2 linked regions of the Arabidopsis thaliana genome follow. The protein of the gene in region 2 interacts with the protein of the main gene of each other region in a biochemical or structural test. Each region holds a gene or a part of one and is shown on either strand. Other genes may lie near its edges.

Region 1 (6,203 bases), on a different chromosome or scaffold from region 2:
ACGAATCTTCGTCTCCTAAAACAGCAACAAAGGGACCAAGAATGCCTGATGGAACCAGAGGCTTCACCATGGGACGTGGCAAACCTTCCATCTCACTCTCACCTAACAATCTCTAAATAGTTACCCACCACAAGGACTGCTATTTATAATTGATTTATTATAATAGAGGTAAAAGATTTTAGAGTTAATTAACCAAATAATACATATGGATTGGTTTTCCTAAGATGCATTCAAAAGAAGCAAGGCACATGACTTGGGAGAAGATAGTGAAGGCACGGTGACGTTTTTTGAGGGTTCGTTTTATATAACTTTTTTCATTTTTTGAGGCAATTTCTTTTCTGTATGTTTAATATGTTTTATTTTTGTGAGATTATTATTTGAATAATAAAGGGGTAATTTATATAGCACAAGAATTGCAACCCTCTCAACTCTTTGTTTTGATTTAGATGAGTAATGGATTTGAATAAGTGACTGAAAGATTGGGTGAAACTTGAAAACTAATCAATTTTCTTTCTAAAGAAAAACTAAAAAAACATGATGAATAGTTTATAAAAAGCACAAGCACAAGAAAGGAAATAATCAGGTAAAATGTTACTATCTTCTTGCATCCTAACTAATTCCAGTAACTTGTATCTATTGACATTCCCAAATGGTTTTTTAACCGGTTTGATATATATTAATTTTTAAGACATATTCGACAATTCTTTAACAACCTTGAAGAAGGCGGAGTCACTTATTGAATCCATTATTCATCTCAATCAATATAAGGAAGTGGGTTTTGTTTACAATAATTGCCATTTTTCGATTGGATTTTGTTTACAAAACCCAATACTTGAAAAGACATTTTTCAATGACCTTAGATTGGATTCAATGTTGTGAAAAAAAAAAAAAAATGGATTCAATGTACAATTTTTTTCTAAAAATAAGTGAAAAGACAAATGAGTATTGAGATAACAAAAGTTCTTGCCAAGGTTGTCTAGTAATTTCATAACCTATGGTAGTTGTCAAACAAACTAATTTATAGTATCATATTAATTATAATAAATGTATAATCTTTAATTGAAACAAAACCTAATTTTACTCCCAAATTAATAGAAAACCTTCAAAGGATGGAAATTGTTGGACATGTATTTACATGAAACCAAACATGCAATATCAGTAAACCAACTTCATAGTCTATACTAAATTACGTACCGATTGGTAGATAGAAATAATGATAACTAAACTGATCTTAACGATTGGTATTGGAGAGAGATTTTCAAATCAAGAGTTAGTAAGAAAAAGAAAAAAAGAACTTAGAGATGTGGATCAAATATTTTGAAAATGATGAAATCTTATTAAAAATTGAAATTGATATACGACCTGTCCAGATACAATGAAGTTGTTAGGTTACAACATCAGCATGTTTCAAAAAGGGTCAAGCAGGTACATCCAATCAATTTATATAACGTAAATCCTGATTTTCAGAGCAATATTATTTGTATCTTTTATAACCTCCCTAGTTAATTAGTAATAAAATATTTAATTTAGTAGTATCACAAGATGGAGCTTTAAAAGTTATCTTTAATTCCCACTTTTGAAAATGATAACGTCCATAAATACATTTCAAAACGTTTTTATTCTCCCAATAAGATATCAAAAAGACAATATCAACAACAAAAAAGACAAGAAAAAAAGACAAAAAATAATGATAGATAAAATACAAAAGCAAAAGAAAACGTATAGTATTGCTTAGAGAAAGAACAAACATATTGTGAATTAAAAAGAAAAAAAAAGAGGGACAAAAGTAGAAAGACGTGGCAAAAAGCAAACTAAATTTCGACCAATCCACATCTAAAATCTAACCTTCTTCATCAGATGGAAGGAAGCTACTTCACCACCCGCAGATTCTGCCATGTGGCTTCTCTCTCTTCTACAGCTCACTTCTTCTCTCTCTGTCTCTCTCTAACTACATTGAAACCAAACCAGAGTGCTTCAATGTCATTGCTGTGATTCTCTTTAAGTCCAGACATAACTCCCATATCTTCTTCTTCTGTCTTTTTTTATTTCTTTGAACCGGAGAAGAAGAAGAAGAAGGAGAAGGATATATGGGAGGCTGTACTTCCAAACCTTCCTCCTCCGTCAAACCTAATCCTTACGCACCCAAAGACGCGGTTCTCCAAAATGACGATTCTACCCCTGCTCATCCCGGGAAATCACCGGTTCGTTCATCTCCCGCCGTAAAGGCCTCTCCTTTTTTCCCTTTTTACACGCCTAGTCCCGCCCGGCACCGCCGTAACAAGAGCCGCGACGGCGGAGGAGGAGAGAGTAAGAGCGTTACCAGCACTCCTCTCCGTCAGCTCGCGCGTGCTTTCCACCCTCCGTCACCGGCGAGACATATACGGGATGTTCTGCGGCGGAGGAAGGAGAAGAAGGAGGCTGCTCTGCCGGCGGCGAGGCAGCAGAAGGAGGAGGAGGAGAGGGAAGAGGTAGGGCTGGATAAAAGATTTGGGTTTTCCAAGGAGTTACAGAGTAGGATTGAGCTAGGGGAAGAGATTGGGAGAGGGCATTTTGGGTATACTTGCTCTGCTAAGTTCAAGAAAGGAGAGCTCAAAGATCAGGAGGTTGCTGTTAAAGTCATCCCAAAATCTAAGGTCATTTTTACAGCTTTACTTTTTCCAAATTCTCAAGTTTCCATCTTAAGTTTTCTGCTTCAATTGGCTCAAGTGCTTCATCATTGTAGTGATAGCTATATCTGACAAATTGAAGATTCTTTGTGTGTCTTGTCTGATTTGTTTAGTAGATGTTAAACTGTTTCAAGGTAGAAGAACAAACCATCATAGTCTCCTTTTGCTTCATGATGAACCTGTAATTTGATCATTACGGTCTCTTGAGATGTTTCTGTTCTTCTCTACGAGCTTACTGTCCTCTTGTTTGAGCCATCTTTTTGAAAAAATTGATAGCGTATGTAGACTTTCACGCATAGAAATTAATACAAAAACAAGTAATAGCGAACACAGATGAGGTTGAAGTTTGTCAATGACACTTATGTTTCATCCATGTTTTTCAATAGCCAAGTTTTCAATGGTTGTAGATTAGCATTGCTGACTTTTCTGTGAACATTTCTAAACGTTTTAAATTGGTCAATAAATTGGAACATGGACATTTGTGCTTTTGTCAATTGTCATTAAGCAATTGAAATTTTGATGGTCCTTATTTGATGACTAAGAAAGTTAATCATGTAATCGAGTTAGTTGGTGTAATATACAGATAGGTTTAGTGTTAGCTTAATCCACAATAGACTGTTTCTCATCAGCTTTGGTTTGGCAGATGACATCTGCAATATCTATAGAGGATGTGAGAAGAGAAGTGAAAATACTGCGGGCGTTATCTGGACATCAAAATTTGGTACAATTCTATGATGCGTTCGAGGACAATGCCAACGTTTACATCGTTATGGAGTAAGACAATCATGTGCTTATATATTCCTGTGTCATGTTGAATCTACTAGGAGAGCTATCAGATTCTTATTTTCCCGACTTGGCTTACTTCAAAATGTTTAGCTGTGAATAAACATTTACTTTCTTTCAACTTTCAGGTTATGTGGAGGTGGTGAACTTCTTGACAGGATACTAGCAAGGTCTGCTTTTAAAGATTGTTATGACATTTGTTAACTTATGGTCAGAGATCCTTCTTAGAGATGTTCTATTGGCTGTCTAACTATTTCAAATTTACTTCTCTTACAGGGGAGGAAAATACTCTGAAGATGATGCAAAAGCAGTGCTTATACAGATCCTTAACGTCGTAGCTTTCTGTCATCTCCAAGGAGTTGTTCATCGAGATCTAAAACCAGAGGTGAACCGCACTTTTTGTCTTTGCTTTTTCCTTTCAAAACCCAAAAGAAATATTGTCTTAGTTGAATACCAATCTCACATTTGAAACACTTTCATGTTTCAGAACTTCTTGTACACTTCCAAGGAGGAGAATTCTATGTTGAAAGTCATAGATTTTGGCTTATCGGACTTTGTCAGACCAGACGAAAGACTAAATGATATAGTGGGAAGTGCATATTACGTAGCCCCTGAAGTTCTACACAGATCTTATACCACAGAAGCGGATGTATGGAGCATAGGAGTCATAGCATACATTCTCCTATGTGGAAGCCGTCCTTTTTGGGCAAGAACTGAATCAGGAATTTTCAGAGCAGTTCTAAAAGCTGATCCCAGTTTTGATGAACCTCCTTGGCCTTCGTTATCCTTTGAGGCAAAAGATTTTGTTAAGAGATTATTGTACAAGGACCCTCGGAAAAGAATGACTGCATCTCAAGCTTTGAGTCAGTAATCTCTAAAATATCCACATCTTTCTATATTTATCTTCTGTTTCTAGCTTTTCATGAATCACCAGTTGAAGTTACTCCACGTTTTTTTCCGGTTTTTACAGTGCATCCTTGGATCGCGGGTTATAAGAAAATAGATATCCCATTTGATATTCTGATCTTCAAGCAGATCAAAGCATACTTGAGATCTTCGTCTTTGCGCAAAGCTGCTTTGATGGTACATTTTGCTTCTAACCTTTTTTACTGTTTCCAAACAACATTTAAGGATGTGTTTGATATTTATTACCTTTGTATCTAGTTTGCTAACTCTTTTATTCTCTCCAGGCTCTGTCCAAGACATTAACTACCGATGAACTTCTTTATCTGAAAGCGCAGTTTGCACACTTAGCACCCAACAAAAATGGCCTCATCACTTTAGATAGCATCAGACTGGTATGTGCCTTCTCTTCCTCTCTGTCTCTCTCTGGTAGAAAGCAAACAGCTCAAAGCTAGATTTATTTCTGTTGGACAGGCACTTGCGACAAATGCAACAGAAGCAATGAAGGAATCACGGATCCCGGACTTTCTTGCATTGGTATTGTCTCCTTTCTGTTCTTGTCCTTTTGCTTAATCTGTTTAAGATACAATCCAAGGTTGGTTAACGAAAGTTTGGTGTTGGGAAATGACAGTTAAATGGACTTCAATACAAAGGGATGGATTTTGAAGAGTTTTGTGCAGCTTCCATTAGCGTTCATCAGCATGAGTCTCTTGATTGTTGGGAGCAGAGCATTCGTCATGCTTATGAGCTATTTGAAATGAATGGAAACCGAGTTATCGTCATCGAAGAACTCGCTTCTGTAAGTTTATAAGAAATTCGACACTTGCTTCTGTCATGCTTAACAATTTATTCAGCTAATTCCTAAACGAAGGGAACATAAATGTTTTGTAGGAACTTGGTGTTGGATCATCCATCCCGGTTCATACCATTCTAAATGACTGGATAAGACATACTGACGGGAAGCTGAGTTTCTTGGGTTTTGTCAAACTGCTGCACGGTGTCTCGACTCGACAATCTTTAGCGAAAACGCGATGAGGAAAGTGACTCGGTGTTATAACGGATTCGAAAGAGGAAGAACATACAACTGCAAGAAGCAAATGGGTGGATTGGGGTTGGGAATTGGAATTTTTTTCAGGACCCATTCCTATGTTTATAGTGTTAGAAAAAGAATGCTAAGTTCCGACAAAGAAAGAGAGTATCCAGAAAAATCCGACAGGCCTGGAGAGTTGTATAATAAGATGATAATCCACAGTCGTGTTCTTCCAAATCATGGAAGACAGATATTAAGAACATCCCTTTCTCTTTTCATTTGGCTGTCTCCATTTTTTCCAGGAAAAAGATTCAGATTCCATTCACAATGTGCCACAAAGCAAATCATAAAAACCCATTCCTAAGTCACAAAACTTACAGTAACAGAGAGCTATTAATATTTCAAATTCGGAAAAACTTGCTTCTCAAGATTCCATAATCCATATCAATAGAAGTCATACATTTCATTCTCAAAAGGTGTTACAGAACAAACCATAAACCCATTCCTAAGTTACAAAACTGACAGTTGGGATGGCTAGGCAACAAAGTCAGCTTTTTAACATTTCTGAATCCTCAAACTTTCTTCTCAAGAGGATTGAATCTACAATGCTATCTAAAGTTCTAAACACTTGAAAGCATCTGCTTCTTACATGATAACAAAGATAGAAAGCTCCATTTTTTGACCAAGATCTGTTCATGTCTTTTACCTCGAGGAGAGTCTCTGGTGTAAATCTTCTGCCAATGCTTGCCTCAAACTCTCCCCGTAATAGTAAAACTGCCTCTCACTCTCCAAAACTCTTGCAGGCGTTCCAGCTTCATCTG
Region 2 (4,465 bases):
AAAGGTAACTTCTAGAAAGCCATATATCTTTGAAAATTGACCTTTAAATGATGATATGTCTCAGATCCCCATTGCAGGGCCTCCTCAAATCTACTTGCTCCAATTGGGAGAATCATAATTTCCTAAACAAATTATGAAAACACAACAATCATTACATATGTAAATGAAATTACTTGAAAACCAAAAGATTTCTTGAAGAACTTTGAGAAACAGAAACGTTAATAGTGAACTTAATGTAGAATACCTGAATGGCAAAAGTATTCGAAGCATGCTTCCCACCACTCAAAACAGTGAACGCAGGTACAGGTAACACCATGTTTGCTCTGCCACTAAGATCAGAAAGATGCTTGCACAAAGGGACCTGATAATAACTTCAATCAAAATCTCCTAACTAAAGTAGGCATAAAATACATAGGATAAGAGAAAATGTTATCATTCATACCTCTTTCTCAGCAGCTCCAGCCTTGCATGCCGCAATTGACACAGCAAGTATAGCATTAGCACCAAGTTCACTCTGCAAGATATTCAAATCAAATTAATCATGAGGAGCAATGATATATGAACTTGTTACAATCCTAATAAAAGTTCCCACCTACCTTCTTTTCAGTTTTATCCAAATCTATCATAGCCTGATCTATCTGACCCTGAAGTTTTGGGTCCATACCAATCAACGCCTCAGAAATTTTTTCATTTATGTTCTTAACAGCTTTAGCCACACTGTTTCCAAGATACATTCCTTTGTCTCCATCACGTAGCTCAATAGCTTCATACCTTGAGAATCAGTAAACCAATCTCCTCATGTCAGGCTTATCATATTAGAGAATTGTATATCAATCAGAGTAAGAATAATTCTCACGTTCCAGAAGAATCACCACTGGGAACAGAAGCACGAAAAACGCCTTTGTTCGTGTGCAGATCAACTTCAACTGTTGGAATTCCTCTGCTGTCAAGGATCTGTCGTGCTTTAACCTTCGTTATCACAGATGATACAGCTTTCTTCAGATGATTAGCCTGCACTTTTCCAATTGAAGATTCAATGAGTAATGTAACATAATTTCACTTCGATACATGTAAATCAAAATTCGAAGGAAACTTACGATGAAGAGAACGGGATCTGAGGTTTTAGCCCTTACGGCGGCATTAACGGCGTCTTCGATTTTCCGAGAAAGCATATGCTTGTCTAAATACTCTTGCACAGACATCTTCTTCTTCTTCCTCTTCCACGGACTTCTCGATTCGAATCTTCAAGCAAAATTTCGATGAACAAGTTTGAATCTGAAATTCATTTTCCGATTGACTGTATTTTTTGGTTCACGCTCCGGTTCAGGCTCCGGTTCAGGATCCAATAAGCATATTCAATCATTAAAACGATGAGTTTCACTTTACAAACACATGCTTGCCGTCTGAGGATTTTGCTAGTGCACATCACTCCGTTTTAAGTCATGCAGATTTGAAATGAAAAGAGTAAAAGCCCATTTTAGGCCCAATAAGAAGTCTCTCACGTGCGATTGCCAGGTTGGAACCGCTTTTTTATCTCTCATAAAGCACGTGCGAGTGCGACGATGTTTTAGTAACTGCTCTCCTTAATGGAATCCAGCTGTCATTCACACGAACATATTTTTTTACGAAATTCAAAAAAACTTTTTATCACGAGCCATTAATTTTTGAATTTTGCCACCCGTTGCCACCTCGATTTACGTGGCATTATCTAAACCGTCGATTCGATTTCGAATTACCAAATATTAGCCGTTAAAACCTCCTTTTCTTTATAAATGGACCCTCCTCTTCTTCTCTCTCTCATAAAACAAAAGATCCTCTCTGCTTCTCCTTTCCCTTTTTCAAAATCTCTCTCTCTCTCTCTCTTTTTAGATCCAGTTTTAGGGTTTTCTTCTCTGTGAGCGAAGATGCGTGAGATTCTTCATATTCAAGGAGGTCAATGCGGAAACCAAATCGGTTCCAAGTTTTGGGAAGTGGTTAATCTCGAGCACGGGATTGATCAGACGGGACGGTATGTAGGAGATTCCGAGTTACAGCTTGAGAGGGTTAATGTATACTACAACGAGGCGAGTTGTGGAAGGTACGTTCCTCGCGCTGTTCTCATGGATTTGGAGCCTGGAACCATGGACAGTGTCAGATCTGGTCCGTACGGTCAGATCTTTCGACCGGATAACTTCGTCTTCGGTCAGTCCGGTGCTGGGAATAACTGGGCTAAAGGTCACTACACTGAAGGTGCTGAGCTTATTGATTCGGTCCTTGATGTTGTTCGCAAAGAGGCTGAGAACTGTGACTGCCTTCAAGGTATTTGAAATCCGTCTTCCTTATTTAGGTTTTTGTCTATTTAGGTTTTTGGATCTGTAAATTTAGGTTGGGTATTGGTAGTGTATGATTGTTTTTAGGTTTAGATTTCTGATTTTGAACTGTGGAATACGGATTCGGTTTTGTATTCGTTGTTTGCTTATGGTTTTGGTTGTTTGGATTTACAGGATTTCAGGTGTGCCATTCCTTGGGAGGAGGAACTGGTTCTGGAATGGGAACTTTGTTGATATCTAAGATCAGGGAGGAGTACCCAGACCGTATGATGATGACTTTCTCTGTGTTCCCATCGCCTAAGGTGTCTGACACTGTTGTGGAGCCTTACAACGCAACACTATCTGTGCACCAGCTTGTTGAGAACGCTGATGAGTGTATGGTTCTTGACAACGAAGCTTTGTATGACATTTGCTTCCGTACACTCAAGCTTAGCACTCCAAGTTGTAAGTATTCCAATGTTCTTCGATTATGAGTCAATGTTGTTACTGTATCTGTCTCTGTGGTTTATTGTTTCAGGCTTAGTTATTGATTAGTATTGAAACTTCACTCACATATTTTTTTGTTTGTTTTCTGAATTGTGCAGTTGGTGATCTGAACCACTTGATCTCTGCAACCATGTCTGGTGTAACCTGCTGTCTTAGGTTCCCTGGTCAACTGAACTCTGATCTGCGAAAGCTAGCTGTGAATCTGATCCCATTCCCTCGTCTCCACTTCTTCATGGTGGGATTTGCTCCTCTCACCTCTCGTGGATCTCAGCAGTACCGTAACCTCACTGTCCCAGAGCTCACTCAGCAAATGTGGGATGCTAAGAACATGATGTGTGCTGCTGACCCAAGACACGGTCGCTACCTCACTGCTTCAGCCATGTTCCGTGGAAAGATGAGCACCAAGGAGGTCGATGAACAGATGCTGAACGTACAGAACAAGAACTCCTCCTACTTTGTGGAATGGATCCCTAACAACGTCAAATCAACCGTCTGTGACATTCCCCCTACTGGTCTGAAGATGGCTTCAACGTTCATTGGTAACTCAACTTCGATCCAAGAGATGTTCAGGCGTGTCAGTGAGCAATTCACTGCTATGTTCAGGAGAAAGGCTTTCTTGCATTGGTACACAGGTGAAGGTATGGATGAGATGGAGTTCACTGAAGCTGAAAGCAACATGAACGATCTTGTCTCTGAGTATCAGCAGTATCAAGATGCAACGGCTGATGAAGAAGGAGAATATGAAGAGGAAGAAGCTGAGTACGAGCAAGAAGAAACTTATTGAAGAAACAGATGATAAGAACACCTCAACTTCCAGTTGCTGTTTACTTTTAAAACTCTCTTCTATTAAGTTCTTATAGTTTCTGTAACTATCGCTTGCGTTATTAGTAGTTATGATACTCTGCGTAGGCTAAGAGGATTTATCAATCAATATTCAAACAATCTATTTTGCTAAATCAAAATCCATCCATAGTATTTTTTTTCTTTGTTTCATTATATAACCTTTTGTTAATTTTGACTATGTGAATTCGGTGAAGACTTCACCATCTTTCAAATATAAGAAGCAGAGTAGTAGTGACAATGGTTATAAGCAATATAAGAATCTTCTTGGTTAAATTTTGGTGTGGATTATGAATTTGACGAGTCAATTTGAAGGACGAATCTGGATTTAAGATAAAAATAGTATAAACTCCATAGGAGAATACAATGGTTATCAGTTGTTTTCAATGTCCATGGACCCAAATAGATCCCTCTGCCTCTTAAGCTCTTCTTCTTCAGCCTCCTCCTTACGCTTTTGTTCATCCTTATACTCAGCAACAGCCTTATCAAAAACGCTTCTCACATGTCTGTTCATTTGCATGAGCTCTTGACATGCATCTTTAAAAACCTCTCTTGCTGGATCACCTAAAAGCCACAGAGCCAACACGTTTTATGTTGTTAGACACACAGACAAAGAACTCGGATAAGAGTTATCCAAAAAGAACATAGCTTAACTCTGATGAACAGAGTTTTTGAAAAACAGTACCTGTTGTCTGGACCCGGATATTGACCTGTTCAAGGGAAGGATGTGGGATGGTGTATGCAGCCACGGTTACTCTGGGACTGCAGAATTGAAAACAGTACTGGTTATTGACATAATCATCATTGTCTACACACCAGCATATCAACTC

The links. Proteins that work in one complex are often made in the same cells at the same time.
Region 1: of the proteins of TUB7 (region 2) and AT3G19100, one has a biochemical effect on the other in vitro, tested with the Arabidopsis thaliana proteins (one study listed by BioGRID).

Annotation. Positions count from the first base shown.
Region 1 is NC_003074.8:6,603,594-6,609,796, forward strand, and holds AT3G19100 (Protein kinase superfamily protein), read left to right. Parts: upstream 1-1,702; 5' UTR 1,703-2,087; coding exon 2,088-2,633; intron 2,634-3,309; coding exon 3,310-3,440; intron 3,441-3,577; coding exon 3,578-3,619; intron 3,620-3,725; coding exon 3,726-3,834; intron 3,835-3,936; coding exon 3,937-4,312; intron 4,313-4,419; coding exon 4,420-4,532; intron 4,533-4,639; coding exon 4,640-4,747; intron 4,748-4,826; coding exon 4,827-4,889; intron 4,890-4,983; coding exon 4,984-5,151; intron 5,152-5,243; coding exon 5,244-5,387; 3' UTR 5,388-5,702; downstream 5,703-6,203. Other genes in the region: LARP6c (RNA-binding protein), read left to right, coding at 1-116; AT3G19120 (PIF / Ping-Pong family of plant transposase), read right to left, coding at 6,085-6,203.
Region 2 is NC_003071.7:12,643,372-12,647,836, reverse strand, and holds TUB7 (tubulin beta-7 chain), read left to right. Parts: upstream 1-1,779; 5' UTR 1,780-1,904; coding exon 1,905-2,298; intron 2,299-2,483; coding exon 2,484-2,753; intron 2,754-2,893; coding exon 2,894-3,579; 3' UTR 3,580-3,920; downstream 3,921-4,465. Other genes in the region: ENOC (cytosolic enolase), read right to left, coding at 42-122, 245-361, 443-514, 597-771, 857-1,011, 1,098-1,202; RPC14 (RNApolymerase 14 kDa subunit), read right to left, coding at 4,009-4,199, 4,321-4,465. UniProt on the Arabidopsis thaliana protein: Tubulin is the major constituent of microtubules, a cylinder consisting of laterally associated linear protofilaments composed of alpha- and beta-tubulin heterodimers.